Linked DNA regions of Caenorhabditis elegans. The protein of the gene in region 2 interacts with the protein of the main gene of each other region in a pairwise test. Each region holds a gene or a part of one and is shown on either strand. Other genes may lie near its edges.

The links.
Region 1: the proteins of nhr-70 (region 2) and peb-1 interact in a two-hybrid assay, tested with the Caenorhabditis elegans proteins (one large-scale study listed by BioGRID).
Region 3: the proteins of nhr-70 (region 2) and ehn-3 interact in a two-hybrid assay, tested with the Caenorhabditis elegans proteins (one large-scale study listed by BioGRID).
Region 4: the proteins of nhr-70 (region 2) and sem-2 interact in a two-hybrid assay, tested with the Caenorhabditis elegans proteins (one large-scale study listed by BioGRID).

What each region holds. Positions count from the first base shown.
Region 1 is NC_003284.9:2,209,501-2,217,079, forward strand, and holds the start of peb-1 (FLYWCH-type zinc finger-containing protein peb-1), read left to right. Parts: upstream 1-1,550; coding exon 1,551-1,595; intron 1,596-2,741; exon of another isoform or gene 2,742-3,032; intron 3,033-3,957; exon of another isoform or gene 3,958-4,080; intron 4,081-4,135; exon of another isoform or gene 4,136-4,517; intron 4,518-4,734; exon of another isoform or gene 4,735-5,082; intron 5,083-5,305; exon of another isoform or gene 5,306-5,491; intron 5,492-5,729; exon of another isoform or gene 5,730-5,946; intron 5,947-6,129; coding exon 6,130-6,252; intron 6,253-6,319; exon of another isoform or gene 6,320-6,441; intron 6,442-6,450; coding exon 6,451-6,552; intron 6,553-6,607; coding exon 6,608-6,781; intron 6,782-7,138; exon of another isoform or gene 7,139-7,401; intron 7,402-7,579. UniProt on the Caenorhabditis elegans protein: Putative transcription factor. Binds to specific sequence motif 5'-[TC][AGT]TGCC[GA][AT]-3' in regulatory elements of target genes such as myosin myo-2. May modulate gene expression, perhaps acting in opposition to transcription factor pha-4.
Region 2 is NC_003283.11:18,614,863-18,620,772, forward strand, and holds nhr-70 (Nuclear Hormone Receptor family), read left to right. Parts: upstream 1-1,724; 5' UTR 1,725-1,746; coding exon 1,747-1,832; intron 1,833-1,910; coding exon 1,911-1,996; intron 1,997-2,043; coding exon 2,044-2,109; intron 2,110-2,445; coding exon 2,446-2,693; intron 2,694-3,280; coding exon 3,281-3,406; intron 3,407-3,460; coding exon 3,461-3,530; intron 3,531-3,591; coding exon 3,592-3,822; intron 3,823-3,871; coding exon 3,872-4,026; intron 4,027-5,079; coding exon 5,080-5,181; 3' UTR 5,182-5,350; downstream 5,351-5,910. Other genes in the region: Y69H2.1 (Serpentine Receptor, class V), read right to left, coding at 5,351-5,556, 5,673-5,792, 5,842-5,910.
Region 3 is NC_003282.8:5,416,194-5,420,989, reverse strand, and holds ehn-3 (Zinc finger protein ehn-3), read left to right. Parts: upstream 1-1,767; 5' UTR 1,768-1,794; coding exon 1,795-1,836; intron 1,837-2,068; coding exon 2,069-2,158; intron 2,159-2,527; exon of another isoform or gene 2,528-2,548; intron 2,549-2,821; exon of another isoform or gene 2,822-2,842; intron 2,843-2,935; coding exon 2,936-3,160; intron 3,161-3,503; exon of another isoform or gene 3,504-3,524; intron 3,525-3,554; coding exon 3,555-3,683; intron 3,684-3,731; coding exon 3,732-3,869; intron 3,870-3,919; coding exon 3,920-4,084; 3' UTR 4,085-4,291; downstream 4,292-4,796. UniProt on the Caenorhabditis elegans protein: Together with the zinc finger protein ztf-16, plays a role in gonadogenesis, specifically in somatic gonad precursor cell development. This is possibly by regulating tra-1 gene expression.
Region 4 is NC_003279.8:5,204,015-5,210,062, forward strand, and holds sem-2 (Transcription factor sem-2), read right to left. Parts: upstream 4,115-6,048; 5' UTR 4,108-4,114; coding exon 3,907-4,107; intron 3,570-3,906; coding exon 3,306-3,569; intron 2,787-3,305; coding exon 2,379-2,786; intron 2,331-2,378; coding exon 2,217-2,330; intron 1,523-2,216; coding exon 1,295-1,522; 3' UTR 516-1,294; downstream 1-515. UniProt on the Caenorhabditis elegans protein: Probable transcription factor required for embryogenesis, vulval development and cell fate specification of the postembryonic mesoderm (also known as the M lineage).

The DNA.
Region 1 (7,579 bases), on a different chromosome or scaffold from region 2:
TCGATTATACAAATCACTTGCTCCGGGTTTTTTTCTCTAGATTTCCATCGGTTTTGGGACTGCACTGGAGATTTTTGGATGAACATGTGAAAATTTTTTAAATAATGCACAGGCCGAACAGTCACACTTTGAAAATAAATTGATGTGATCTATGCAGATAGTTGCAAATTTCAAAAAACTCTACCCCTGAACACTGTCATTCTGCCATGCCATAATTTAGTTCAGTCGGATGAATGACCTTTCGTTGGCCAATTGGATGCGAAACACTGGACGGCACCGAATCGGCACGGCAAGTGGTACTGACAAGCGACAACAAAGACGGATAGACCATCAGTTAAATCAAGATAAGAATTGCTTGTGAACTTTTTCAGATATCGCATTAGGTCGAGAAGTTAATCAAATCATTGCTTTTTGAAGACATCACTGAAAGTGCCAATATTTTAGTAATTGATATTTACACAAGGGACCCCACTGAACTCATCAATTTTAAAATGTGATTTCCAGTTGATGTAAGCAACCAAGAAAAAGGCATATTACTTCAGGTTTTTTGCACTTTTATTTTCCAATCTCACAAATGTGGGCGTATGATGAGCGGCACACTCACGCATCCAAAAGTTTGCCGGATTCATAAAGTAGTATAGAAGTGTCTCACGAGCGTGGAGGGTGGCGCTGGCCCGAAAAAAAAATACGCTGAGACTGTATTGGAAAAGTTTAATCACGTATTTCGCTCGACTCGTCATTTATTTGAGCCTTAGTTTGTGTCTCGCCGTTTTTGGTTTTCCGCCTCTCCCTCATTCCCCCCGGTCTATTCCGAATTTGCCGCGACCCATCACAGGTCACGAACTTTAGTGCCCGCACGCCGCGTTTTGTATCTGCCTGCGCATCTACACGCTGACATACTATTTGTTTGATCCGCGCGGAACTGCCACAAACAACAACAATCTGCGTCCGGCGAAGACGTCGTCACCATATACCCATCTATTGCATCCAACTCATCTCTTTCTTGTATTTAATTCCTTTTTCACACACCCACACACACACACACCACACCACAGGTTGCAAACCATTGTATAATTTTCTGAAAAGCACTGTAACCAATTAGAAAACGATTTTTCAAAAGTGGAGCAGTGCTACATATATGATACCAAAATAATCAAATTTTGTATTAAAACTTTTAAAAAGTCAAAAAAAATCGTTTGAAATGTTTTTTTTACTGACAGTCAAAAAGTGGAAATTTTTAGAGTTTATGCCTCGAACAAAAACTGAGATTTTTCCAATTTCCAATTCCAGTTTGACACACATAGTGCAACTCCAATTGCTCATTATTTTATTAGTTTATTCTTACAACCATCACCCTTTTCCCAGATGTATTTCGTACCATGATGTGTGTATGTGTGTGTGTTAAAAGGTCATTTCAAGCTCTTCGTGAAAGGCACCCTGCTCAGTTTGTGCCCTGTTATGATCAATATAAATGTGTACTTTATTCCAGGGCAACGAAACGAGTAAACACCGAGAAAAGGAAGCATTCTGGATATTCCAAACTGGGGCTGATGATGACAACAACAGTTCAAAAAAATTGCTGGCGGCTTGACCAGGTGAGTGACCAGTTAGATTTGTTCAGCGACAGGCGTTTTCAGTCGGTGGTTTGAGTTTGCACAACTGTTTTCTTGTCCTTTGCGTGAGCCAAGGGGTTTGTGCTGAGTTACCCTCTATCTATTTGTCAGAATACGATGTGATGATCAAAACTTTAACATCATGCATTTTCTTGAGATCCATAAACCCCCCCCCCCCCCCCTCTCGTGTGCTTCTCTGTTTCTCGGTTTGTTCTCCTATTCACCCCGTTCGTTTCAGTGACGTGTCGTCGTTTGTTTCTGCCTGCCAAATATGGCTACGGGGGGGAATATGAATTAAATTGACTTGGTATCTATCATTCCATTTTTATTTTCTGGGAGATGTCAAGAAATTTTGGAGACGAGCGGTTTTTAAAATTAATGTAGTTTTTTTTGTTGTGTTCTCACATTTTAGTTTTCTAATCGGGGAAATGTTGGAGTAAATTGTAATTGATAGGTACACATTTACTTATCAATGGTTCACAGTTTCAGTTAATTATCAGTATTCATATGCGTTTTTATCTTTTGTATAATTTTAACATTCTACATTTTGCAACCAAAAAGCTCTCTATGTTTCTCCTTTACGGGCGGAAAGTAGTGCTGGCTTGTACCATTGCCAATCAGCTCTTTGATTAAAAAACCAACATATCAGTTGACAGTACCATTTTGCCCCTGCTCGACTTCAATGGGCCGCGCCAGATGAGTCAGCGACCTTTGCACACGAGCCCGGACAGTGCTAGGCGCCGGGGCATGACCAATGCGCGAAAGTTTTGTTGCGTAACCGCATGTTTATTGTCCGCTTGCCAATCGTTTTCACTTTTAGTGATACTTGCAGCTCGCCCTCGTCGTTATATTTTTTTTCTGACCGTCGACGCTTGCTTGCCTTCTCCGAAAAGTTTTGATATAAAACTAGCAGTATTTTTCGTTCTGTGGCTCATAGTTTCTGACGTCTTCCTCTTTATGACTTTACGCGGAAGAAAAGGGCAACATCTAAAACCACCCAGTAATATAAAGTGCGCGGTTTCGAGGGAACAGTTTCGAGAGAAAGATTAAGTAGATGAAGGCAGAGAGAACCAACATTTGCAAATATAGTACTAGGTTGGAGGAGTGCCTCGGCGCTGCGATGCCTGTCTACAAGTTTGCACTTGGCTGGTCAGTGGCGTTACGTGCCACTCTCTGTACTGCGCGAGACGTGGCCAAACTGATGCGAAGCACAATATATACACGCCCCGAAGGGTCATTGTTTGCCGTTTGCCCCCCCCCCCCTTTGCGGAAAGGCCTTTCGTACTGTACTCTTGATGTGTGCTTCCTTCCGGCCGGGCACCCGCCACCGTGGTTGTCACAACTCGGATGGCTCCCACTTCCTCCACTGTCGAAACCGTTCGGACCGCCCATTTCCATTTTGGCTCACGCCGGGCTCTCGCACACATACTTTCCACACTTCTACTGTCAGTGGTGGCAACTGGAAGCACTCCATAGTTGACTAATGACCTTTCTAACCTTGTTCCCTGTACTAGAGCTATCAATTGTGTATCATTTCTCTTTTACACTATTTCATGTTTGAATTTTCGAACAGGGGGTCAATCTCTGAGGCAGGAAGGGTGGAGCACCAGTAACGCACTTTACTCGTTTTGCCTTGGCGCGTTCATTGTTCCATTTCACAATTTTTCTCCTAATTTTCTAGACCACTTCAGTTTTTAGAAGCGCTAGATGTTGTTTCATGAAGTGACCAGTCTTGCGTGTTCAGTTTTTTTCTTGGCGTAAATGCCCACTCTTCTTCTTTTCTCCTAGCTGCCCCTTCTTCACTTTCTCCAAATCAAGGTTCAGCTATAGAAAGTAAAATCGCCTTTCACTCATCCTGGACAAGATTGACTACGAGCTTTTGCAGCTTCTAAGACTTCTTCGAGAATGGGGGGGGGGGGGGGGGGGGCGCGACGTGAAAATGAAGGGCATTCATGGATCCCGTAGTAAATATGTGATATCATCTATACCAATTTTCTGGATATCGAACTAATCATTGACGATTGCAAAATTTCGAAAAATTTGTAGGAGAGAAACGATTTCATCTGACCGATCCGAGACTGGCACCCCTTTGTTCTAGGCCCTCTCCCGATTGCCATAGAGATGTCCATCCATCACCTTTCCTGACAACCCCAGATGGTGGCGTATGTGTATGTGTGTGTTTTTTGACTAATTGGAAACGAAAAGCCGACTCCAGACTTGTAATTTTGCTCCAGCAATGTTTTTTTTCCAGATCTTTTCAAATTGACGAATCTGCCTTTAAACGTTTCGTGATAGACATAGAAATTGACATCCGGTCAAATAATTAGATGAAAAAACCTTCCATATTGGGGGCAAAACGTCCAAGTGAGAGTGGATCGGCGACTGGCGCCAAATTGCTGCTGCCGACGCAGTTACCATACTTGGATGTCGGACAAGGCGGATTTCGAGAGTTGTTTTTATGTACACACGCCTTTCACCTCTTTGCCCCTTGTGATCTTTTTTGCATTCGTTAGACGCTTCTTTCATTTTCGTTCCTCATCACCATCATCATCCACTACTAATGGTTCAGGGCACGGCGTATGCGCGCGCGTGCCTCACACCATCGGATCGCGGATGTTTTGGCGGGGTTGGCTGTTCATTTAGGGGGGAGGCGGCCGATTGAAATGAAGAAGATGTTGTGGATGTAGAAGTAGGAGGAGATGGAGGAGGCAAAGGCCTTCTCCCTCGCGGTTCTTCGTGGCAGGCAGCCTGACCCCGTTCCTTACTGAACCGCCCCCCCCCCCCCCCTCTCACTTCCACCCGACGCCGCCATCGGAATTTTAGACTACCAGTAGAATATGGATAGCGGAAGGTGTGAAACTTCAGACTGCGATTCTCTAGATTCACGCTTACTGTATTTCTACCTTACTACTAGTCTTGTTACGATTACCTTCCTAATTTTAACGTTTGATATGTTTTCACCTTCGGCTTCTATACAATTCCCATCATCTTGAAATAGGTATTATCAGCATGTAAGCATGCCAAACAAATATTTTTGTTGTCCAGTGGTGCTCGACCGTTCCAGGATCGGTATTATGCAATTTTTCGCTGAACCAAGCATATACATACTGATAAGAAAAATGTTTGTTCTGTCGGCCACTGATTACTAGACACTTGAATTCTGACCGCCATAAATGGCGAATCGTACGCGAGAAGTGCTGACGCCGTCTTGCGCCGATGTCCAATAGGACCTTGCACTTTGCCGATGTTGCAACAGTAATAGTTTCCATCAAGGTTATGCGGACTAGTGCCACGCGATTGGGTCAAGCCGTTGGCTTCCGCCTTTCTTATCAAAATCTTCGCCCTCAATTACCTAATTTTGTGGTTTTTTTTTTCTCTCCCGAATCCATCAATCCGGTGTCAATCCGTGTCTTCCGCGCTAGGTCATGCGGGCGGCGACGGCGCGGCCCTTTTTTCGGTAATCGTCCTGGCATCCCACACTTTCCATTGGCCCGGATATAATAACTTTTTGGAGACCCCCTTTCTGGTGCCTATTTGCAAAACTTGCTTCATTTTTGGTCACTTTTACTCGAACTTTCTCTTCGACGATGACCCCCTCGCCCGCCACAAAAACAAAAAGTGAAACTTGGAACGGTACTCGTTATACCTCATGCCTTTACTTTCTCGCGCCACTTCCTCGCAGTATTCCATGGATGGAAAAGCGGTCAAAAAAGTATTATGATCAGGCTGGCGGAAGATAGATGGAAGGAATTGTGGGTCAACGAAGTCAAAACACCATTACTCGATAAAAGTCGCCGCATGTTGCGGAATGTGTGCCATCGAAACTGGTTACTGTATTTCTTTTCCGAGAATTTTGCTTTGCCCCGCTATCAACTTTTTGTTCTATCTTCTTTAGAAATTCCGAATTAAATAATGATAATCATATACTTCTGTATTCTTTTTAACCCTTCTTTAGTCTGTTTTTGAAATTTCGACCAACCACCTCAACAAAATTTACCAAAATCAAAAAAAAAAGTGAATGTGTCAATCTCGTTTCAACGCATGTTTCTCGCCAATTTCCGTACAGTCAGTTGTGCCTCCTGCCGGTCACTCATCCTCTATCTCTTCGCCACTCTCGTTCTCGCGCACCTCATCCAAATAACAGTATTCGGTGTCTTAGTTGGCAGCCGGTTGGTGCCTGCCACGATAGGTTATCAGTTCAAATGGCACGCGCCTCTCTCGACTGCCCCATCAGCTGATTTGTCCGCCCCAAGCAACTGATAGTGCCTGGGGCGGAGAGATAGATGAGAAAAAATCGTCTGATTCTAGGTGTCTGAACCTCGCTCGCTATCCAACAGCAGGTCCGCTCGTTTTTTTTGTCACATCTCTCTTCGTTGGTCATATCTCTTTTTCATCATCTGTCTAGTTTGAGTTCAATTTCTAATTCATCAGAGGTCATTTGGTTATTATTATTCTATTGCTCCCATCGCTATTTTTTTTTGCTCATTTGATTTAACACATCAATTTTCCTTTTCAGACAATGCTGGGTCTTGAAAAGCCTGGATCATCAGACATTTCGTCTTCTTCCACTGATACTTCCGCCATTTCTCCGATTAGCGTGAGCAGTATGCCACTATCACCGGACAAGGAAAAGAAAAAGGTAAGTACTTTGAGATAACTGTTTGGACTGTCCGAAGGGCAAACATAGTTTTGAAAGAGAACGTTTGCATAGTTGACCGGTGTTTGTTCAGACGGAAAATTTAGGGCTTCCTTCCCACACGAATTTCAAAACAACCTGACACCGGGAAACACCGCCTTAACTGGCGATTTTGGGCCGATAATAATAGTTTTTTTTCAGATCTCATTTGTCCGATACAATCCAGACATTCCACAAATTGTCACATCTTTCAAAGGATATCAAAAACTTATGTATCAAGGCTACCGATATAATATTTATCAGGTATCATAGACCATCATTCAAGTGGTGACTTTCATCACGAGTTGTTTTTTTTCAGATTGCTCCAGAACGTAACTTCAAGTCTTGGAGATGCGTTTGCGCTAAGAAAATGCATGATGGGCAGTGGTGCAAATGCCGAGCTGAAACAACCATGGATAATAAAAACGCATGCACGAAAGGATCACACAATCACCCTCCAAGACACCATGTCGCTGAGATCGAATTTATCAAGGTACGTGGCGAGATTACACAGTCACAACTGTCTAGGTTAAGAGCTAGTGCCCTTTGCAATTGGCGCAGTGCCAGATCAGAGCACCGATATCATAAGGTTGAATTTGCCAGCTGACTCTTTTTGTTCCAATTGGTTCCTAGGCTTGGCGCCTTCAAGTTCGAATTTCATAACGTCATGTGGAACCTCTAGCTTTTGAGAGTGTCTAAGGGAATTGTGTGTACGTGCAAAAAAGATAACTTTTTTTTATTTCGTAACCCTTAAAAATTCACTTCATGGCACCAGTAGATGGAAAAAAAAGATCGTCGGCCCTTTTCGAGTGTGTCAAAAATAGTTTGTGTATACAAGTTAAAAGTGCAACGAGATGCGCTACTTTCGGCGCTGGGTGGCGCCGCCGAGTGCCTAGGTCAGTTGCGATGTTGGTCAGGTCAAATAAAACAATCTGAGCGTGGCACGGTTCGAAACATCGGCCACTCATGCGCGTGCCGCAATTTTGCCCCCCTCCTCCCTCCCATGTTGATGAACCGCGAATAATTCGCAAACAGATCCGCGCATTGCCAAGGTCAAGCCATGGATGGCAGGCACGCGGCAGCGCGCGCGGGGACAGGCTGGGCCATACCACCCGACTCGTTAACCTAGATGCGCCAATTTTCCCAAATCTATTGCGTCGCTGCCATTCAAATTGACGGTACAAACTTTTTGCGAATTCTTCCGAATTGGGTCATCGGAAGGGTCAATTCTGACGCAATGTAAAGTGCATCGAATTTCAAATCCTGATTCGACCTTTGTAGATGCAGTTTA
Region 2 (5,910 bases):
CGAGCTTCATGTATTTTTGAGCACTATTTTCTGTAGAATTTTTCATTTGAAAGCATCATTTTCATTTTTCCAACATTTTTTCTTTTTCTTCAAATTCTTTTTTCCAACATTTTTTTATTTTCATTTTTCTTGTATTTGTGACAAATATATATAAGAAATTACTACTTTTTTCAATGAAAAATTCGTTTTTGAATGAAAAAATCCTTAAAATGGATTTTTGAAACTTCAAAATGTTTAAAAATTTTCAATTTCTTTCAAATTTGTGATGTTATAAATTTTTACAATTTTTTTGAAACTCCAAAATTTACAAATTTGCAAAAAATTTCATTTTTTCCGAATTTTCCGAGCTTCCGAAATCCATATTTTTGAAATACTTTTTGAAAAAAATTCAAATTTTTAGAAATTCGAATTTTTTAAGAAGGCTTAATGCCCAAAAAAAGTTTAGGCCTAAGCCTAAGCCTAACAAGGGAAGTCTTTGAGGGGGTCCGTAGATTTGGGGTTCTCATGCTAAAATTCCTACAGAAGAGTGTTAGTTATGATCTCTCCAAAAAATTTAGCTGCCCCGGTCAAGTTTCAGCAAAGTTATGACGTTTTGAAATTTCAGTTAAAAACACCATTGAAATCCACTGTCTTACCATGCAATCCACGCAAATCTCAGCCTGCGTGACCACCGAAAATGTGACACCCACCACATTGAGTTGAAAAATGTCTTCGGTGGCCGAGTTGGGAGTGCGCGCGTCTGATAAGATTTAAGCTTTGGTTCGATACCTTCTATTTTTGAAATATTTTTGTAAGTTGAATAAAGTTGTAAAACAACTCATTCAAACATTTTTGCGCATTTTTAAAGTGATTTTATTCTTATTCGGGAACCTAGAATCATTGTCCGCACTTTTTGGAAATTTTTATTTTTTTCATTTTTGCTCAAAATTTCTTAATCAACTCCAAGCAAAAAAATCAAAAAATTTCATTTTTCTAAACAATTATGAAATTGCTATGCTGTTGTTTAGAAATGTATGAAACGTACATTACACAAGTTTTAACTCTCTATTCGCAAGTAAACCGTCGAAATGATCTACATCTCACGAACTTTGTGCAAAATATTTAACCAACTTTGAAGTTGCATAACTTCGTTGAGATAAATTATTTTGAAATATGATCAACTAACAAAATGTTTGTTGAATAACAGTAAACAAAGTTTTAGTTATAAACTTTTTGATACCTTCAGCCACCAAAAAGTTGTGACCGTTTTCCAAAACACAATGTTAATAGAAAAACTAGCCAAATGCCAACCTTGTTTTCTTCTTTGTAGCTGGTATCAAAAAGTTTATAACTATATATATAACTAACACTCTTCTGTAGGAATTTTAGCATGAGAACCCCAAATCTACGGACCCCCTCAAAGACTTCCCTTGTAAGCATAAGCCTAAGCCTATACCTAAGACTAAGCCTAAGCCTAATCCTAAGCCTAACCCTAAGTTTAAGAATTAGCCGACGTCTAAGCCTAAGCCTAAGCCTAAATCTAGGTCTAAGCCTTAGCCTAAGCCTAAACCTAAACCTAAACCTAAGCCTGAAGCCTAAGCCAAAAATTCCAAGTTTTTTGAATTTTTCAAATTTTTGGAAATTTCTAATTTTTGGAGAAATTCAACTAAATAATTTTTTTTAACTTTTACAAGCTTCAGTTTTTACTCAATTTGTACCTTATTTATTGCCTTATTTTCAACGAATTTTAGTTTTTCAGCAAAAAAAATGTCTGCTGGACGAGGCGAGAAGCCGCCGTGCAGTATTTGTGGAGAAGTTGGTAATGGTGTGCATTTTGGAGCAGAAGCCTGTCGGTAAGCTGCTGCCAAATTTTCAAAGATTTCAGCCGAAAAAACGTGCATTTTTTTTTCAAAAATTTCAATAATTTTCAGAGCCTGCGCAGCATTTTTCCGCCGTTCAGTTGCCCTCAACAAATTGTACAGATGCCGTGGAGATGGAAATTGTGATATTCTTTCAAGTAGGCCGTTTTCCGTGAAAACTATCGATTTTTAGCCAAAATTTCAGCTATCAGATGCATGTGCCGAGCTTGTCGATTTGCAAAATGTATGGCAGTTGGGATGAAGCGAGAAGGTGAGTTTTAAGCCAATTTCTGAAATTTTCACCAAAAAATTGTTTAGAAAATTAGAAAAAGTAATCTAAAATTCGAAAATTATTCCTAAAAAATCGAAAAATTTGAATTGCAACAGCTTGTGTAGATTTACGGGAGTCTGTGTAATTTACGGAAATTTTTGTAAATTTACGGGAGTGTTTTGTAGATTTACGAAAGCTTTCATAAACTTACGGAAGCTTGTGTAGATTTACAGAAATGTTTCCTGTAGATTTACGGAAGCTGGTGTAGATTTACGGATGCTTGTGTAGATATGGGATAATTTTTCTTATATTTATAATCTAATTTTATTTTTTCAGCCGTTCAAAAATACCGTGACGCTTACGGAAAACGTGGCTCTGACGTCGAATCGCCGGGCAGCTCATCAGTTTCACTTCCGAATCAAGGCGACGGATTTGGCCCTCCTGGTGGTTTCAACCCGAATTCCACGTTCGACAGTGTCGAGGAATGCGGAATGCCAATTTTGACCATGTTGAGCCAGAATTACGAAAAACTGCAAAGTGTCCGCCGCGTCGTACATCACGATCAGGGCAGCAGTGTGTTTCAGGTACAGTTATCTGAAAAAAAAAATGAAAAAATTTGGAGTTTTTCATGTGAATTTGTACATAAGCTTGTGTAGATTTAGGGAGTTTTTCGTGTAGGTTTACGTGAGTTATTGTAGATTTACGGGAGCTTTTAGTGTAGATTTACGAGAGTTGGTGTGGATTTACGAGAGTTTTTAGTGTAGGTTTACAGGTGTCAGTGTAGATTTACGGGAGTTTTTATGTAGGTTTACGAGAGTTAGTGAAGATTTACGAGAGTATTTAATGTAGGTTTACAGGAGTCAGTGTAGATTTATGGGGGCTTTTGATGTATAGTTACGAAAGTTAGTGTAGATTTACGGAATCTTCTGATGTGAATATACGAGAGTTCGTGTAACTTTACGGGAACTTTTAATGTGGATTTACGAGCGTTTTTAGTGTAGATTTACGAGAGTTTTCAGTGCAGATTTTTTACAGCAGTCCGTGTAGATTTACGTGAGTCAGTGTAGATTTACGGAGCCGTTGATGTAGATTTACAAAAGTTCATGTAGATTTACAGGAGTTTTTGATGTAGATTTACTGAGCTACGTAAAATTCAATTTTTTTTTTCCAGATGCGAACCCCAAAAGCGGTGAGCTACAAAGAGGCGAATATTGTCAGCTCGAAGGAATGTGATCTGGTGGCCGACTGGATTCTCAACTCGTACCCCGGATTCGCAGATTTACACAAAGATCAGAAAGTAGGCCGGAAAGCCTGAAATTTCAGTTTTATCGAAAGAATTCAATATTTTCAGATAATTTTGTTCCGCAATTTTTTCTTGCCATTCGTGATTCTCCAGGGCGGTCATTTTGCGTGTATTCATAGTAAGTTTTTGGTTTTTTTTTGTTGAAAATTTGAAAACTGTTTTTCAATTTACAATTTCAGACCGTAGTGACGTCATAATTCTAGCGTCAGGTGACTACATCGACTGCTCGCACCCGGAGACGTTCTACTACGACCCAGACGGCCGCCAGCTCATGTCTTCAGAGGATGCAGTCAGAATGTTTGCATCGAGTTTCAGTATTTACCGGCGAAATGTCACAGATCCGATGCTCCGGGATAATGTGGACAGTTTTGAGTTTTTCGCGCTTTGCTCATTGGTTTTATTTGATACTGGTAACGTTTTTTTTTTTGGGATAAGTTTAGCTGATAATAAGTATTTTAGGCCTGGAAGGACAATCTGAGGAGTGTATTCGGGTCTCGCGACGAATTCGAGAGGCGATTCAGCGAGAGATACTGTACCACTATCGGAATGTGAGACATATTGAGGACCCGTCGATGAGGCTGGCGAATTTACTGTCTTTGTTGCCAGCGTTGCAGGTGAGTTTTGAAATTGTAAAGGAAAAAAAAATCTAAGCGGCCACAAAAAATTTCAGACCTGTAGCACAAATGTGAGCAAAGTTACGCGTCTTCAAAGTTTTCACCATGCGTCGCGTGTCGCGTCGCGGTCGACGTTGGAACTTTGAAAAGCTGTAACTTTGCTCAAAATGGTCGTAGAGCTATGAAATTTTGGGTGTATGTTTTTGAAATGAGCATTGACCTTTGGCAAAATTTTTGTGCCTTGACGCATTTCTAGTGCTTTGACGCAATTCTAGTGCCTTGACGCATTTCTAGTGCCTTGGCGCAATTCTTGTGCCTTGACTCAATTATAGTGTCTTGACGCATTTCTAGTGCCTTGGCGCAATTCTTGTGCCTTGACGCAATTATAGTGTATTGACGCAATTCTAGTGCCTTGACGCATTTCTAGTGCCTTGACGCATTTCTAGTGCCTTGACGCAATTCTAGTGCCTTGACGCAATTCTTGTGCCTTTACGCATTTCTAGTGTCTTGACGCAATTCTTGTGCCTTGACGCATTTCTAGTGCCTTGACGCAATTCTTGTGCCTTGGCGCAATTCTAGTGACTGGACGCAATTCTAGTGCCTTGACGCAATTCTAGTGCCTTGACGCATTTCTAGTGCCTTGACGCATTTCTAGTGCCTTGACGCATTTCTTGTGCCTTGGCGCAATTCTAGTGCCTTGACGCAGTTCTAGTGCCTTGACGCATTTCTAGTGCCTTGACGCAATTCTTGTGCCTTGGCGCAATTCTAGTGCCTTGACGCAGTTCTAGTGCCTTGACGCAATTCTTGTGCTTTGGCCCAATTCTAGTGCCTTGACGCAGTTCTAGTGCCTTGACTCTATGCCTTGACGCAATTCTAGTTGCCAAACGCGTTAAAATTTACGGATTTCCCTACGGAATTTTCAAATTGAGAAGCTTCGAAGCTTGTGCAAAAAGTCTTTTGATCGGAACATTCCACTGCGCTATACGGGCAAAATTCTCAAAAACTACCAAAAATGCTCAAAATTGTGCAAATTTCAGTTCAATCTGTTTTCAGAGAGCCACCCGCCGATTCCAGGAAGACGTAGAAATTTCACACGTCTTCAATGTCTACTCAGTGGACGCGAAGTTCTACGAAATGTGTAATGGCCGATTCTAATACAGTACTACCTACAGAAAAAAAATGCCAAGAATTTTTTTAAATTGTATATAATCCTGAAAAAAAAGTCAAAAAATGTGCCTGAAACTGTGATCAAAATCTAGTTTTTTATTGTTGTAGAAATTAACTTTGTGATTTGATTTGATTTGTTTTTTTTTTTGCAAATATTTTATTTCTCATAAACGTTATCAAATTTGAATTTTCTTCTGTCTACAATTGCAATTGCTGGTTTTTTCAATCCACTACACGTGAAAAAATCTAAAAATGCCCTCCTAATCGGCGGAATGCACATCATACTGACCAGTGGCACCATAAAAATGCAGGAGAACGAGAACATGTACCCGTAGGCGCAGAAATAGTTAACTGAACGGATACCTGAAAAATTGAAAAATTGTGTCGTTTTTTAGCAAAAAAAAATAGCGGAAAAAATAGCGGAAAAAATTGTTGAAAAATTTTTTTTTTTTTTGAAATTTTTTTTTTAATTTTCCCACCTGCCAGGAGTACTTTCCACTGCCGCATTGTTAGCGGAAATGACAATATAAATTCAGTGACACTTTGCAATAAAATCACAAAAGAATAATTGAGAGACAGGTGCTTTGTAGATGTACACTCTGAAAATTCGGCGGAAATTTCAAAAAAAAAACCCCCAAAAAATCCCACTTTTAAACAAGAACTTATCGATAACTTGCACGATAACCAGCGTGAAATTTGCCAAAATTGCAAAAATCA
Region 3 (4,796 bases), on a different chromosome or scaffold from region 2:
AGGAAGTCTATCAAAACTATCAATACTATAGTATACTGTAGTTACAAGGATATTGAAACAGTTAAAGATTTACATCACTAAAACTAATTTCATATCACTTTTGCAGTATCTTGTTTCAACTTAGTATTTATGATTTCTCATTTTTATTATTTAGACTGGTAAGCAGAGAGAAAAAAGCTGGGAATTAGGAAAAAGTAACAACATGAGCAGAGGAAGAAGAAGAGCAACAAGAGCATTAGACAGAATTAGTGATGATGTAGAAGGTACAAGATGAAAAATAGCAAAAAAATAAGTAGAGAATAAAATCAAAACTTTTTCATTTTTCGGTTTTTGGACTACTTTAGAAACTGTAAACAGAGGAAACAGTGGTTTTGTTGGACGTTAAAAACATTTGAATATTTCACATTTAAAATTCCGTTGCAATCAGTTTGAATTTAAAATACATTTAATTTCTAGCTATGTTGAAACTGTGAAATTTTCGGAAAATGCGAAAAAAATGTGACGGATTTTTAAATATTTTATCTAAATCTTCACCGGATAATTTTGGAAATAATACGTTTAGAGGTCGAGCATGATCCCGATTAAAATTAATTAATTGTTAACTGTTTTATGGACTATTTGAAACGTGTTCAATTTGAAAAATGGCATTCATTCTTTCCATCAAACTCATAGTTATTTTTCAGATCTGAAAAAATATCAGAGCCTATTTATCTCGATTGAAAACATTTCTGCCTTTTATAGCTTGATTTTAAGGGTTTGTTGAAACAGTGATATTTTTTTGAAAATAAATGAAAACATTTTCTTGAGTAAGACCTCTCCAGCTATCTTTGGATACTGAATAAATCAGATCTCATACACCAAAAAGCCGATAACTAAAAATATAAATATTATTTCCAGAAGTTTATCACGGAGAATCTTCGATTCCTGACATTAAAATCGAAAGCATTTTCCATTAAAAACTAATATTTTTGCACTCTTCACCTTCTTCCGGCATGTAATCCTATATTACAGACATCCAAGGTAAAAGAGAAAAAACTTGATTTCCTTTTTTCCCTTTTTCTCCAGAAACGTCTTCCAATGTCGTCTTCTTCCTGGACACATTATGCTAATTTATTCGATTTGTGCCATGGTTAATGTATTAGGAAGAAGGAAGAGCATTACGCTATGAACAAAACGCTTTTTTTCGCCACGTGATTTGCGGTTTTGCAGGAGATGGGGGATTCTATTGTTGAAACTAACAAATCCTGAAACTCATAAAATTTTAGTGAATTCATGAATCTGTAAAAATTCTGAATTCTAACAATAATGAAAAGACTTTACAGAGATAAATAAAAACCGAATGAAACATTTAAAATCAGTCAAACAAATGTTTTCTATGAAACAGGAAATTTAATTCTAAAAAAAAAAAAGGATTTTTTTACTCGTACAGTCCAAAGTACTGTAACTGTTCTTAAAATTGACCCCAATTGTAATTTAATATCAATTTGTCCACTATATTTGCTACCTTCTCTTCCAAATCATGAAAGTGACCTCTGACTATATATCACCCCAGTTTGTCACCAACCATCTGGCAAGTAGCGGCAGCCGGCTTATCTGTTATGTCGGAAGATGTGCTTCTTCTCCGACTTGTTAAGATATCTGACACCTAGGATTGTATATTTCCCCCAAATGACCTTCGACAGTACCCGAGAAGTTATAAACAATTTGTGCTCCACCCAAAGTTTGGAATAGAAAATCCTATAGTCACTTTCTGACACTCTCTGACTTTATTCCTCCCAGCTTCCAAATTACAAAATGGAAAAATGCGATATTTGTCACCAGAAGTTTTCCAATAAGGTGAGTGGAGAGTACTAAAGGTTATAGGTAGAAACTAAAGTGCCTACCAGGTTACTTATGGTTTCGTAAACTACTTTCTTGTTTGGCTCTTGAAAAACTGAGACGCAAGACTCAAATCTTTAGAAAATTTCTTTTTAATTATCAATTTACAACATTGTTCAAATCGAAAAGCAACAAAAAACAAGTTACTAAAATCGTAGAAAAATTTTGATTTCCATGTATATTTTTTCAGACAAACTTGAATCGTCATAAGGTGATGCACAGTGGAAAAAAGAAGTTTGAATGTCAGTTCTGCAGAAGACCTTTTTTTCGGAATGATCGGGTTAGTTCTTGTGGTTTTCCGATAAATTTGTATAGAGGATATTTTATTGAAGTTTCTTTATAAAGTTTAGTCGTTTTAGTACAAGCTTTATCTCTAGTGACCAAAAAAATTCACTAAGTAACCTACTTTACGAAAGTTAATTACTTGAAATTATTCCAAACGCTTACAAATAACTCGATTTTTTTGTCGAAACGTTAAAAAAAATGCTAGAAAAAAGCTTCCTAAAAGTTGACTCAATTTATCACTCGTACATCAGATTTAAAGCAGAATGAAACAATCTGTGTTATTGATTTTCAGAAATTGACACAAAAATTTTAATTATGTGTTTCATGATGTTTTTAATAATCACTGAATGCAATTTACGATTACTGGTATCTGTGATTTGCGAATCTGTTCAAAAATAAATGTTTAATGCCAAAGCACTAAAAAATTAAAAGAGAATTAGCACCCAGCATGCCAAATGATGTAGGGGAATTATTTTTCTGTGGATGTGTACTGATACGTTGGCTTTAATTTACTGTTAGCTAGAGAAAATTTAAAAGCTTTGTTTTAAATATTTTTATTGAAAACAAAGTTAAGATTGTTAAAAGTCGTTTACTTTTTCCAGATCTGACCATCAGTTTTTTATATGAAAGTTTCAGTTATGCAAGAAAAGTTGTATTTTCAAATATACTTTGAGAAAGATCGAGCTTTCTAGTAGTATAAAGCATTAAGCATTATTTCTTGAAACATTAAACAGATTAGAAAACAATCTCTTCAACTTTTAATCCAACTCAGATGAAAGAGCACATGATGACCCATATCAAGAAAGGAAATACCTTTGAATGTCCCATCACAGCGTGCAATTCAAAGTTCAACAGCTTCACGAGTTTGCAGTTTCATGTAGATTCGGAGCATATCATAAGAGGATCGTCTCCAGCTAAATGTAAATCTTGCATCAAATGGTTCAACAGTTCCCATCGTCTTCTGCTTCATTTTCATACTGCACACCTGGATCATACGGTGAGTACTTTTTTCTGTGGAAGAATTGAAGCACACACTGTTTTTATTTGGATTTTACATCAGCTACTTGCTTACGAGTAGGTTATAGCTGTGATGTGTTAAGTTTAGCCTACGTTTGATCCGATTCTTGCCGAATGTTGACTAAACTTTTCATTTGAGACTAAAAGTAAAATTTTGAAAACCGTTGGGTCTTGCAATCGAAAATACTTGAAAGCTTCAAAACATTAGAAAAATTGATCTAAAATAGAATTCACTATACTCGAACTTCTCCACATAATTGAATTGAATTTCAAAATACTTTTTCGCTATTTCTACAAAATCTCTACTAAAGTCAGACGTGCACTATGTATAGATTGGATTTTGGTAGATATATATAAATCTCCTTAGTTTTCAGAAATTCTTCTCTTTCAAACCTGCTCCAATTCTTCCAAAATCCACTACTTCAATCTTGAACCCCATCAAGAATCCAGATGATTTTGATAGAATCTTTGACTTTTTCAAAACTGAAATCGCACCACTCTTTGTAAGAAATTTGAAATTGAATTTTCAACTGGTAACATAATATTTTCAGCCGCTTCATAGCACTGTTTCACAAGCCCCATTGCCACAGTGCTCTAGATCTGTAAAATCCGCAAAAGAGTTGTCTCCAACACCATCTACGGAAATCGAAACTCCCGAAGAAGAAGAGTTGGATGGTCCAGAGAGCTGGGTATGTACCTCTGGGAAAAAACGTATTTTGTAAAAAAACAATTATTTCAGTACTGCGATTACTGTAAAATCAGATTCGATGACAAAGTGATGTGGTATTTGCACAGTGGACTCCACTCAGATGATATTCCGTTCAAATGCTCACTTTGTGGAAGCCTATGCGATGGAAAATATGATTTTGCTGCTCATCTCGTTTACGCCAATCATAACTTCTAAAATATAAAAATGTCGATTCTTTTTCAAAGTTATAGCATGGTTCAATTTATTGTTAAGTACCAGCATCAATCTTATCAATAATGTTCCTCATCTTCTGTTGGGATGTTTTAAAATACTTAACTCTGTTCTTGTGTGAATTAATTGTTACATTTGTTTCTGTTAATTGTTTTATATATTTGAAAGTTAGAAATATGATTTTCTCAATTATGGTAGTTGATTTTATTTCTGAAAACTTCAAAAGATTTACTAAAAATTATTGATATGCGAATTTTGCAAAAGTTATGCTGATTATTTTTATCTTCAGGAGAGCAGTTTTAAGGAGGAAATGCCAAGAGTTTTAGATTAAGAAATTTCAAATTTCTACCAACAGATTTTAAAACATTACTCCTGATTTTAGGACAATGAAGATTTTCGCATTTTAAAAGCCTAATTAAAAAAAAACGGCGAGATCAATTTTTCTAGTATAAAATGCTCCTCTGAAGATAATTTTCACAAAGTGTCCAATTAAAAAAGTCATCTCTAGGAGTGATAACACTTTGAATTTCCGAGATTTATTGAAAACTTTATTACATCTCCAACATTAATAATAAAACAAATTAAGAAAAAAGTATTTTACAGTTTTCTAAAGTTTGATGTATTTATAGAGTTTTGCTCTTGAAATATTATTCACAATTTTGCCTCTTTTATAAAAATATCAACAAAAAAATTCTCA
Region 4 (6,048 bases), on a different chromosome or scaffold from region 2:
AAAGAAAAAAAGAGAAAAAGAAACATGCCGACAAGTTGAGGTTGTGAAGGACGGATGATAGAATGCACTATTTATTTGAAGGTTGTTTTTTTTTCAAAGCTGTTGGAGCCAAAAACAGGGTGTGACTTTTTAAAGCAGGTTTCAGAAAAGTGCCAAAATTCCGAGAATGACATTGCAAAAAAAAACAAGAGGTTCCAGAAAAGCGGCTTCCCGACTGCTCGGTTATTGCAGTATTCACGGAGCAATTGTTCTACCAGCACAAAAATTGATTTCAGGCCAGGATTGAACTGTTATGTTAAATTGTAATATGTCATACATATTTTACGAGACTGTTTACGAGACATTATTTAGGGAAGTTTTTTCAATTTGTGTCACACACTTGCCGCAGCTGCCAATAACTAATTAATAGTAGAAAATTGCTAGGTATTTACCTGAATTTTAATTTACAGAACAGAAAAAATTAATTAAACGTATATTATTTCCACAAATCTATGTATTTTGAAATCAAAAACAAGTTAATTTTTTAAATGATTTTTATTGCTCAGAAAAAGGAGACAAACATAAATCAATCAATAATAAATGAAATCAAGAGGAAGAAATTCATTCAATACTGAAAATTTGGAAAGATGAGTGAAAAAGGATAAGAGATATTTAGAGATGAACAAGAGAATAAATATTTCTTCAGGTTTGGGAAAAAGGGTAGCTACATTTGGCATATTGTAGAGGGCAGGGGATGGGGGGAAGTGTTCAACATATACAATCATAATTTCGTGCTTGAAATCTCAGAAATTTTTTTTTTCAAGTACAACGGCGAATTGGGTAATCGATGAAAGTTGAAAGAACGAATGAAAACTGGCTCGGTAAAGCTGGGAGAGGATAAAAATGGGTAAAGAAATGGGGACGATACTTTTGTAGAAGAATACTTTCAATTTGAAATTAGTGAATTACTTTTTGGATTTGTAGAAATACTCTTAGGGTTTCAAGAAATGAAAGAATACAATCGCTTGGATTTGTTGAGGAAATACTGGAAAACAAAGAGAAAAATACAGAAAAAGGTGGTAAATAACTAGAAAATGCTGGGGATTAAAAGGTACTAAGACCGGACTAAAGGGACACTCGAAAATTGTTGGAGAGAGATAAAGAGAGAATTGTTTCAGGGGAGAGGCTAGAATTGAGGTAGGAGCAGAAAATGTTGGGCTTTCAGAAGAAACAGTGAAAAAAAACATTTGGACGTAGCGATCTACTTACTACCCGAACTTTCAGAAGTTTTCAAAAAAAAACTTGTCTGAAATATTCAAGAAAAATTAATATCAATTCCCAATGCATCGCTCCATGGATAATTGACCAGCTCGCCTGTGGTTACAGTTGGACAAATCTGCTCCAGGTCATCCAAATGTGTTGTAGTCGTAGCGGCCGTAGCCATTGTGACGACTCCCGCCGAGTTTGGTGATGACGTTGATTGTTCAGAAGCACTACAGTCGGCGTATCCCGAAGATCCAGACGATAGACTACGCATGTCGTCCTGAAACTCATGAGTTTTGAACATTTCATGAGGATATTGTGCTGGTGGTGTTGAAGTTGGTGCTGGTGATGGTGCGAAGTGGTACATGTTATAAAGATTATGATTCTGAATCATTGGGTTAGGTATCTGAAGGAAAACAAGCGGTTATTAGGATGTTAAGCATGGATGCTGGGAAGGGATTGTAGTGGAAAATGGAGTACGGTAGGATTTACGCTAAAAGGACTAATAATATAAATTTTCAAAATCCAATGGCCAGTACTAAGAATTTTATGATTTAAATGTTTTTCAATATAAAAGATGAAATATCGACAATGTATTAGAAACTACTTAATCCACTTCAGAAAAATTCAAAAATTTTTGAACTTTTTTTAAAATTTACAGTCAACGGGTTTTAAGTACTAAACCTAAGTAAAAATTGAATCACAAGTAAGTGTTTCTATAAATTCTAAGGGCTCGAACAATTTCTCATAAAGTTAAATTTCTTCGGAAATTTGATAATTTGCAAAACTTTGATTGAAAATTTTGACAAATATAAAGTATTTTGAGTGATTAATTATTTTCTTTAAGATAAAATTCCCCACCTTTCAGAAAATAAAATTTGGCAATTTTCTAAATTTTTAGCCACTACATCCTACCGTACTCCCAAACAAAAAGTGCTTCAAACAAAATCTCATGCAAAAGAGACAACCCGTACCTGATCAACTGATGGTGGTGAAGTGTGCAAGTAGAAAGGATGATTACCAGCTCCAAATCCCGAATTATGCCCCATCATTTGTGGTGGCATTCCCATGTCCATACCAAGATTCGTCTGAAAATATTGAATTTTCCAAGCATTTCGTGATCTATAAAAACTAACCATTCTGAGGGGACTTCCTGCCGAATTATGATGTTGTGATGCAAAATGCTGTTGATGATGTTGCTGTGTAAAATAGTCATCATAAAATCCAGATTCAGGTGTCAACGGAGCATGTCCAAACTCGGAAGGTGATGGATACGATGGATGAAATGGCATCTTTTGTGCATGACTCATATGAGCATTTCCCATCCAATCTTGCTCCACTTTCACTGATTTAAAGTTTTGGAATTGTTGTGTTTCTGACTGTTGATCTGTGTTTGGACGTTTTCGTTGACGAGCCTGTGGTGATGCTCCACGTGGTGGGGCCTGTTGCTGTTGTGGAGCTTGGGGTTGAGCTGGCTGCTGAAGTGTTCCATCTGGATTCTTCTTTGGCTTCTTGCGTGGCTTGTATTTGTAGTCTGGATATTCCTGAAAAAATTTAAAATTACAATACAATTATTCGAAAAATCCGGTTACAGTATTTCCTGTGTGGCACAGAGGTAAGCTACTATTTGAATATTCTAAAATTTGATAATTTGGCAGTTGCCAAAAACGTCGAATATTTAAAAATTTCTGAGATTCGGAAAATCACCAAAAATAAAATATTGGAATTTTTAGTTTTTAATGAAAAGCTTATATTGTTTCACCTACCTCCTACACTGACTATAGTAGAAATTTGTTTTTCGTTCAAAATTCAAATTTTTTTTTCAAATTATTCTCTTTTTTTTTAACTTTTTTGAACTCGATAATTGTCGTATTTTTGAATTTCCGAAAATGCCGATTACGGAAAACTTTTGATTGGTATGAAGCCTCTATTATCAGCACAATACGTTTTGAAATTATTTAGTGAAAATACACTTGTTCAAAAATTATTACTGTATTTCTTACTTATATAGAAAATTCGGTATCAATATTGAATTGAATTAAACTATATTCTCCCATACTAACCTGCATATGACAAACTCTGAGTCTCTCAGCTTCAGCAACAAATGGAGCTTTTTCCTCATCAGTCAAACTTCTCCAACGACTTCCCAATTGCTTACTGATTTCTGCATTATGCATATCTGGCTGATGCTCACAAATCTTTCTCCGTTCCATTTGAGACCAAACCATAAAAGCGTTCATTGGTCGCTTGATGTGATTTGATGACTTTTTGCAATTTGTTGCATCCGAATACGGGGTCACTGATTTGGGAATCGCTTGTTGTGCATGCTGAAAATGTATGGATTTGTTTCAGAGCAATTTTTAATTTTTTGGTACTTCTAGGTTGAGAACATTTCTAAAAGTGCAAATGTCAAGTAACTGATAAGAAAAGAGTTTTCAAATTTGTTGCTCTTCCACTCTAGAAGTTTCAAAAAATAAGATAACAAGATGACCAGTGCAAAGTATCATGTTTTTTGTTTTTACTAAATTTATTACCTTGTTTACTAAAAAATTATTACAAAAAGGGCTGTGTCCACTTCCTGATGTCCTTTTGACAGCTTATCACTTATCAAAGTGTAAAGCCCATTGTTTCAATATTTACAACCAAAAAAACCGTATCACAAACCTTATAGCCTCCAGCTGCTGTCCCATATGGATGATGTTGTAATTGTTGTGACGTGGCAACCGAGTTAGACGATGTGGCATTTGTGGCTCCAGAAGTCGATGAGGCTACTGCAATTGCGGCCGCAGCCCAGTTAATCGGCGGCATCATATGCGGAGCCATTCCACAATCCAGCATGAAGTTGGGCGGTTTTTGGAGATCCATTTGATATCTGAAATAAAAAGTAATACGAAAAATAATATTGTTGAAACGGAAAGTGGAAAAATTAAAAGAGAAAGGTAAGAGAAAGTGAAATTCAGGAGACCGAATTTCGGCAGAAAATATAGGGAAAATCCAAAAAGAACGAGAGTTAGAGAGAATAAGAGATTCAAAGATGTCTACGATCCGTTTCCATGAGAGATTTCTACGAGGAGATAGACAAGGTGGCGTTCAGTGTATCTTTAGTACAGTATACTTTAGGATACAAGTATACGGTAGAATCTACCAAGAGTATACTTTTCCAAAAAGAAACGTAACCAACTATACAATTAGAAACTTTCAAGTAATAGTAAAGCAGGGTTCTAGTTGCCGGTCACTTGCTTACTGATAAGAGCCAGCACTGATAATTTTTTCCTGGAGAAAAGCTGGAACATGTGCAAAAGTATGGAAAAGGAGAGAGACGGCAAGAAAGGAAAAAATTCAAAATAAGAACTTAAATATCAACAATCATGACTACCACGATTCTAGCTGGATAAGTTAATTAGCAAATGACCGTAGGAGCTTAATCTATTCAATTTTTGATGATAAGCCTGACTGATTCTTCTTCGAGATGATCAGGTCAAACTGCCTTTCTGTCTCATTTTCATTTCTCTCTCTCTCTCTCGAGAAAAGGGATGTTGTACAACCCAATGACAAGAGTGATGACATAACAATACAACACAATAGAATAAGGGGGAGAAGCATCAGAAAACTGGTATTTTTAGAAAGGGGCAAAAACGAAGTAGGAGAATGAAGCAGAAGCTGTGTACTTCGAGAGTGCGGTAGTGAGGCTTCTCGCATGATGTAATGGTTTGACATTTGGTAATTGTAATTGGCATTGGCCAAACGAGATGATGTACTACTACTGTGTGTATATGTACGGTAGATTGGCATGTCATGAGAGAAATGGTTTGGAAATGGAAGTTTTCAGAGAGCAAAAGGTTTGACACATTTAGAGAGCATTCATCTTGGAAACCCAAGTACAGAAAGTGAAACAATACTATATAGAAAAGAATATCAAAAAGGGTGCCAAGAAAACAGAAATGAGAAAAACTAAATGGTAACAAGTATATCTTCCTCCTTACAACCACCGCCTCCCGTCCTGAAAAAGGCGTGTCTAGACCGCCTCTACGGCACTTTGCAAAGGACCACGAGGTGCCAAGTTATTTGCGGCAGAGTTCCGAAAGGAGGCAAGTAACTTGGTACATTGAGGTGGCTAGATTGCATGGGAAATTGGATAAACAAGAATTTTGGGATGAGTTAGACATGAAACTCAACTATTGAAATTCTGAATATAACAAAGATAATTGTATTTCCAATGAGAAATAAGCAAGGTATCTAGACAAACATAGATTTCTAATTCTAATAGATTCTTAAATGAACTGAAAAAAGGTGGCTTATATTTTTGATGCATACTTTGGTATTTTTTGGAACATTTCAAAATCTCTGACCGTGAAAAACCTTGCCATGTTCGATATCAAAAAAGTAACAACAAAATATTGGGTTAACTTTAACTGAAGAAACTCTCAAATATGCTTATTTCTAAAGAAAAGAGCTCCTAACTTTTGCCTACACAGTTAATTTGTCATGCTTTCAGCAGGTACCTCATAGACATTACGATGCACGATGTACAGATCGTCAACGAAGTCGGGCACTATATGCACATGGCGACTCTAAAACAGTCAAAATATGTGCCCAACGATATCGAAAGTTATGTGCAATTCTGCTAGACTAGCACACTCCAAACTAAAACCTATGATCAAGTGGTTACTTGATAACTACAGTAACCTTGATCCTTCTTCGAAACCAGCTTTTCCTTCTCCTCATCTCATTTAGCGTTCACTCTCGAATGAATCATGACTTCTGCCCCCTTACACCTTTCCTCCAAAAAAACTGTATTATGTAACT